2 linked regions of the Ovis aries genome follow. The protein of the gene in region 2 interacts with the protein of the main gene of each other region in a biochemical or structural test. Links are inferred from orthologs where the notes say so. Each region holds a gene or a part of one and is shown on either strand. Other genes may lie near its edges.

Region 1 (4,178 bases), on a different chromosome or scaffold from region 2:
ACAATTATTATTTTTCCAGATTTATAGATGAGAAAATGGGGTGCAGAGAAGGTAAGTAACCTGCCCTATGTCGTGTATCCAGTAGAGGGGAAGCCAGGATATAAATCCAGATCTCCAGACTCCAAGTTCTGTGATCTCTTTCCCTAAGGATTTAGGAGCCTGTGGGGCATCAAACCACCTCCTATGCTGAGCTTACACCTTGTCAGTCTCTGATGGGCATTCCTGGATCAAAGGTGGCTGGAAGGATGGTGAGTCCAGGGCAAAGTCCCTTCTCAGGATTTTGCTTGGGAACACAGAATTTGTCTTTGAGGGAGAATGTGTGTGTGTGTGACAGGGAATCAGAAATTGGGGTCATGGCTTGCACCAGCCCTCTTTTTGAGTTCTAGGCTAAGTTGACACTGGTGAGCATATATGGTAGAGTCCTTGTGCCTTCAGCTCACTTTTCAGAAAATTGTCACTATAATTGAGTAGGGCAGTTGGAGATGGAGATGGTAATGTGAGTGCGGATTTCTTGGGCTGAGCAGCAGCTGTGCTGTATGTCCTGGTTTTTTTCCAGCCTGCGATTTTCCTGTATATATAGTACAAAGACCTAATAACGGTCTCTGCTTTTTCCTTGCTTATAACTCACAGAGGGAACTGAACTTCCATGTTCAGGCCCCAGAGTAGAGCCTGAGGAAAAAGATAATGGGCATGGTGATATTTTTAAAATGCTTAGTTTTTCATCTACCAGAGCTCTCTGTAATGACCATGCTCCCATATATAAATCCTCTGAAAATAAATACAGGTATGATGATCGAGAGACACAGGACTCTGCAATGCTTTTAAAATTATCAAAGATATTTTGATGTGTTTGGGATGGTTTTCCTGGATTTTATTATGTGCTCAGTCATGTCCTACTCTTTGTGACCCCATGGACTGTAGCCCACCAGGTTCCTCTGTCCACGGGATTTCCCAGGCAAGAATACTGGAGTAGGTTGCTATTTCCTTCTCCAGGGGATCTTCCTGACCCAGGGATCAAACCCGAGTCTCCTGCATTGGCAGGCAGATTCTTTACCACTGTGCTGCCTGGGAAGCCTAGATTTTCTTATACTCAAAATTTTTTTTTTTTTTTTAGAACTAAAATCCACATGGGTTTTCTATGATAATTCTGTTCATCAAAATATTTGATTATAATGTATGTCCGTTATGTCTCAATAAAACTGAAAGAAAAAGAAAGAACAAAAAGGTATCTGATTGAACTGAGCTTTCTGGTAAGGCTGGTCTCCAGTAGTCCTTTTTGCAAATAGGTGCGTGGGCTGAGCCAAGCCTGGGGACTGATGAGGGATCTCAGTGCTTACTAGAATTCTTGGCACTCCCAGGTGCTCCTGAGTGTAACTGATCTGACACTGTCCAGGAGGAGCTACGGGAGGAGTTCCTGGGTCACTCACACAGGATTAAAGAGCCAGCCCCCGCGCCAGCTTCACAGAGAGGCCAGTAATGCAGACAGAATAGGAGCTGACTTCAGCATCTTCCCTGACCTCACACCAAGAACTTTCTGAGAAAAAGAAATACTCCCGCTACTGAACACGCAGCCAAGACCTTCCCACAACTCCAGTGGCTGATGTTGACTGATACCGAGTCCCAAGAGAGGAGCACTACTTAGCGGTGCTCCCCATCTGACCCACAAGCAGAAGCAAGGTCAAATGACTTCTGCTGCCCCAAGATCGTGGGCAGGCTTACAAGAACAAACAGTAGGAAATTAGTACACCGAATGAAGCCTGCACATAACCCTGAATCCCATGTCATTCGGGCCTTTAAACAATAGCTTTAATGTTCTCTGAGGAAAAGAGTGGCTGGAACCATTGCCCTTGAGAAATCAAGAGGGCCGTCAGCTGATAGACTTTACAACTTTACCGACTATGATGCAGTGGGCAGACTTCGCTGGTGGCTCAGTGTAAATAATCCTCCTGCCAATACGGAAGACGTGGGTTCGATCCCTGGATCAGGAGGATCCCCTGGAGAAGGGAATGGCAACCCACTCCAGTAATCTTGCCTGGGGAATCCCATGGACAGAGGAGGCTGGCAGGCTACAGTCCATGGGGTCGCAAAGGAGTCGGATACGACTTAGCAACTAAACAACAACGACAAGCAGTGCAGTGTGCAGCATGTCCTGCACTTGTCCTGTCTGAAGAGTCTGAACACACCTCTGTTTTTCACACATCCCAGCTTTGCAAGATTTCCAGTGTTGTATGAGACTGAAATGGGGCCAGACTTTAGGATATATTATCAGCACCCTGGGGTCCCCACATCCCGATCACGGGCCAGTTCCCGCCTCCTTGGTCGCCGTGGTCCCGGGCCCCCCCCCACCCCCACTCACCTCCAGCACGATTTCTTTCAGCTGGAACTGTTTCTGCACGACTTTGTCTGAAGACAGGGGCTCATGGTAGTAGAGGCAGAGCAAGTCGTATTTCTTCAAAACCTGCTTGAAGTTCTTCTCAGTTAGACTGACCACGCGGTCCTTGCCATCATAGGTGGGGAAGTTCAGTCCCTCCTCTGCCCTGCAGGAGGACAGCAGGTAGACCCCCACCACAAACAGGTGGGCTCTCTTCATCTGGGCAAAATTTTTCTTTCCCAGAAACGCTGATGGTAGGAAAGTGAATGGAGTCTTAGAGGACTTGCTGGGAGTCATGGGGAGCAGAGAGGCTGATCTGGTCTCTCTCCCTGGCCCTCCCTGGGCCCGAGAACCCCGTCTTCACCTCTGCAGGCTGCTGACTGTAGCCCTGGGCTCAGACAAAGCGAGCAGAGGCTCACACCCATGCGTGCGTGGAACTGGAGCCAGGCTGGGCCACCCAGCCCCAGATAGCTTGCATAGCTCTACCCAGCCCGTGTCTCATCTGGAACTCCATTTTTAGGATGCAGTTGTTTCAGGCTAAAAATAAATCATGAGATGAATAAAAAAGTTAGATATGGCCCTGTTGAGGGATTCGCTGATACAGTTTGTCAGGCTGGTGGAGAGGGAGGAGGCAGGAGGGAGACGGCGGAACATGCGCACATGAAATAAGGAGGCCAGGAAGGTCAGAGGAGAGAAATTCACCTGGAGGGAGGAGGGCAAAAGGAGGGGAGGGAGACATGGGATGGTGACGTGCGCACGTGCAGGGGTCCCTCAGATGCTATTGAATCCGTCCATTATCCCAGGGAATGGTGTCAGCCTGTCCCTTCCTGGCAGGCTGCTCATCCGCACCCCACACACACACCTACTCACCACTGACCTGGAGACCAGCCCAACCCCCAGGGGGACTTGACGTTCTGCGCCTGCCTTCCCCTGGCTGGCCGCTGCGCCGTGTCCCCCATGGCTCTGCCTGTCACTGAGCAAGGGGTCTAGGGTCACCCTTTCTCCGTGGAAAGAGCTCCAGAGACCCCAGCCCGCCAGGGTCACAGTTGTTCTCCTTCTGCCCCTGCTCATGGCTTAACGTTGCTGACACCAGGAGGTCCTGCCCCATTATAAAATTAAATATAGTAAAAGTTCAACTATCTTCCTCAGAAACCTTCTTAGGCTTTTCACTATCATCCCTGTCATCTTCTTTTCTAACATTAACCCCCAATGTATCATTTTTGCCCCTTTCCTCTCCATTGGGACAGACTGCTGTAGAGAGTCCAGAAGCCAGATAGGTCGGAGTTCAAATCCAGGCTCTGCTTTTCAATGGCTGAATGGACTTTGGAGGGTCACTTACCCTCTCTCTGATTCGCCATCCATCACCTCCACCCCTGCTCCTTGTAAAGTGGGGATAATTATAACTAGATTGTAAGGCTTGGAACACAGAGATGGAAAAACATGGTGCGAAGCAGTTACTCAAACACAGCAGCTGTTATATTATTCCATTCTTCTTGGAGATGGTGGAACATAGGTTATTATCAGAATTACTTGTCAGTTTCTAAAAGTAATTGTTTGTGAACCCTTTTCTGTCTGCCTTCTTCTTGAATCCATCAGGCATTTGGGGCAGATGTGATTAAAAGGTCATTGCACAGAGGAGCTAACTGAGCTTCAGGGAGCTCAGCACCTAGTCAGAGATCATGTTACCGACTACCTGTTGGTAGAGGGTAGGCAGAGAGTTCAGTGCTACCCTGGAGCCCAGTACTCCTGGGTGCTTTCACTCTGATGGGGTAATTCCCCCACAGACACCTCTTTTCTTAAAAGACTC
Region 2 (3,512 bases):
GACTTTCTTGCTTTAGAAAATCTAGTGTTAATATTAAGCACCAACATCATTCAGGCATCTCCACACACATCAACACAGCATTTGAGGATTTACAAAGGTCAAGATTACCTTTTGTCACATTGTGTAATTGAAGACTTTCTTTTCTTGTTGGCACTGTATAAAAAAAATGTAAATTAAAATATGAACTTTTAGAGCAAATCTTCATAAAACAATTTGGCTCACTTCAACTCTAAGCTTTAGCAACATGAGAATAATTTAAATGTTGTAAATATTTTCTCAAGGTGTTTTAAAAGTTTTCTCTTCTGCTAATGCCTAAGAAAAATAAATGTTAGCTGAAGAGATTGTTGTATCTGCATAAAGAGATATGACATGAACTCAGTGATTACAGGGTATTTAAATGAATCTGAGTCCACGGCCAATGGGTAATGTTGATTAATTGAATTTAGGTATAAACCAGAAAAGTGTCTTCTTTTGTTATTAACAATCTTTTCGGGATGTCTAAGAATGCTTTCCTCCTGACTCGACAGAATATTTCTCTGATGATTAAGGCCTTTGTAAGGTTTTTAGATGACTAAACATGGAAATCAGTGGTTATTGTATTATATTATGTAGTTTCCTAAATAAATAAAGCTAAAGTTAAGATAAAAAAGCAACATCGCAATGCAGCTTCTAACCAGTTTCTCACCAAAGACCCAACACATGACTGCACACTGTAGGTGTGGCCTGCCGTCCATTGCTCCTTTGACACCGTCATAATCACATGCTCTCATTATTTACCACTTTTCTTCTTTTAACCAGGCCAGCAATCATAGTGTACGTAAAGAAAAGTTTTCTTTAAAATTGAAATAAATAAATTTTGACTCAAAATATTTTGACTCCAGGAACTTTTAAACTTTTAAAAATTACCTTTTTCTTCTTTAAGATGTCTCATTTCTGTTTTTTCTATAGAAATAAAATGACAGAGTCATATACATATTTATTCAAAATATTTTGACTTCAGGAACTTTTAAGCTTTTAAAAATTACCTTTTTCTTCTTTAAGATGTCTCATTTCTGCTTTTTCTATAGAGATAAAATGACAGAGTCATATACATATTTATTCAAAATATTTTGACTTCAGGAACTTTTAAGCTTTTAAAAATTACCTTTTTCTTCTTTAAGATGTCTCATTTCTGCTTTTTCTATAGAGATAAAATGGTAGAGTCATATACATATTTATTCAAAATATTCTGACTTCAGGAACTTTTGAACTTTTAAAAATTACCTTTTTCTTCTTTAAGATGTCTCATTTCTGCTTTTTCTATAGAGATAAAATGGTAGAGTCATATACATATTTATTCATAGGTCTTTCTAAGTTTGAAATTACATATTTTGCAGTCAATATTTACAATTCAGGAGTTATATGAAAAGAACTCTATGGTGTTAATATAGCAATAATGGAGTTTGCTTTAAGATCTCAGTTCCTGTTCCCTTTAGATATCTAGTAATAATGCAATACTACACTCCTCACATGAATAACACTCTAAATAGCTTCGATTCTGATATACGCTTTAAAACCAATGTCCATATTTTCATGAATTGCTTTTTTAAGTGATGTAATTTATATAATTATATATTTTTGATTCTTGTGCTTTTATCACTAATTTGATATACATGCCTTAAAATGTATTTACCTTTACTTTCCTTTTCAGGTTTTTCAATTTTCTTTTTTGCTAGGGGGGGAAAAATAACAATAAACCATTGGCTTAAAAACATAATTTTCTTACTCAGTTTTGGAGTAAATATTTGTAGATGAAACTTAATCCCGTAAGTGAAAGAGGGTCAAAGTCCTACTTTTAAAGATGTGAAGATAAAGTCTCCCTACTTTGTGTAAGAACATGTACATTTCTGTTATCCTTGGTTATTTGGTTTTATAAAGCACAACCCCCTCCTTTTGTTTCCTGTGGTTTTTTTTTTTTTTTTGTACATGCTTTAGAGTAAAGCTAGAGTAAGCCATGCATTTATTAATAAGTTTAAATTAGCAACAGAAAAAAAATTCACATTTTCTGTTGTTACCTTTCGGAAATGAAAATTTGATTAGTGCTATGAATACTCAATAAATTAACTGTTGAGTAAAAACAATGTAAGAGTCACAATATATCTCTGAGAAAAATGTAGACACATCCTTTTTAAACCAGAGTTTTGACTGACTGATGCTTTTCTTTAACTATATTTATCAGACAAGAGTAAGAAGGACACCAATATTTAATGAGTAACAACCAAGCATGTAGTGGGAGTGTTATATATGTTATTTCATTTCATACTTATTACAAGCCTTTTGGAAAGTCATTATGTCTATTCTATAGATGAGTAAACTGGGAATCTGAGCTGTTAATGGATTTTCCCAAATGTTACACAGCTATATAGAGATTCAAATTTAAATAGTATTCCTATAGATCTATGTTGCCTCCTCTGGGTAAGCAAATATTTACCTGATTCTGTTACTTCTAGTGTTTCCTCTTTAGAAAAAAAAAATAGAAAAAAGGAAGAAAAATAAAAGGAAATAATAATTTTCTTTTTCCAGTAGCAGACAACTGAACTTCATCTTTATATTATTTCGTATTAATTCCAAAAGTAGTGACAATAGACACATACTCAAAATGGCAAAGAGATACGTTGGTAACTAATATTTCTGAAAACACAACTGGTATCTATTCTGGAAATAGAACCCCTATATACATTAATATTAACTAGTCTATCCATACACGGTAGAATGAATCAGTTTGAAGACATTTGGGTAGTTTTCTCAATTACAAATTATAAATCTCCATTACATAAACTTTCACCATGATTTGAACATGCGCCTGCACACATTTATTCATTAACTTTTTATAAAGCAACCAGTGCAATGAGTAGGGTTGAGAGATGAGATTTTAAAATATCACAAAAATAATCTCAACTCATAATGACTACAGTCAGAGTAGTGAGACAAAATATAAAAATGTTATTTATTTGTCTTTAACCTATGATAATGCTCCTTCAGGAAATTCAAAGACCAATTATTTTTTTAAAATATGCTTTAAAAAATATATCCATACAAATTCGTTCAAATGATAGTATTTTCTATAAAACTGATATATTAAATGATCAGCCTAACATAACTTTTTGAAGTTTAAGGAAAATTCAAATATTTTATAAGAACAAATATATATAATGAATAATGTTTTATAAACAAAACCGCATTTGCAAATAATTATGGTGATATTTCTTATCAGTAATCTAGTTTTGACTTTCAGCCCTTAATTTTTATAATAACGTTCATATTAGTAGCACTTACACAGACTAAATATACTAGATATTTTTGCCAACCCAAAGGCAACATTTAATGTTTAACACTGGCATTGAATCCATTCAGAAGAAAATCATAAATGTATTCACGAGAAATCTATCATAACACTTTTAAGGAACCAGGTTAGTCCTTGGCATTGAAAATCTTTAGACACAACTTTTAGTTACACTCTTGATTGAAATGTA

The links.
Region 1: the proteins of TRDN (region 2) and CASQ2 form a complex in vitro, tested with the Homo sapiens proteins (3 studies listed by BioGRID). The link is inferred for Ovis aries from reciprocal best matches to the Homo sapiens genes TRDN and CASQ2.

The regions. Positions count from the first base shown.
Region 1 is NC_056054.1:93,106,241-93,110,418, forward strand, and holds the start of CASQ2 (calsequestrin-2), read right to left. Parts: upstream 2,811-4,178; 5' UTR 2,669-2,810; coding exon 2,357-2,668; intron 1-2,356. UniProt on the Homo sapiens protein: Calsequestrin is a high-capacity, moderate affinity, calcium-binding protein and thus acts as an internal calcium store in muscle. Calcium ions are bound by clusters of acidic residues at the protein surface, especially at the interface between subunits.
Region 2 is NC_056061.1:15,321,737-15,325,248, reverse strand, and holds part of TRDN (triadin), read right to left. Parts: intron 2,498-3,512; coding exon 2,471-2,497; intron 1,712-2,470; coding exon 1,673-1,711; intron 1,300-1,672; coding exon 1,264-1,299; intron 1,181-1,263; coding exon 1,145-1,180; intron 1,062-1,144; coding exon 1,026-1,061; intron 943-1,025; coding exon 907-942; intron 154-906; coding exon 109-153; intron 1-108. UniProt on the Homo sapiens protein: Contributes to the regulation of lumenal Ca2+ release via the sarcoplasmic reticulum calcium release channels RYR1 and RYR2, a key step in triggering skeletal and heart muscle contraction.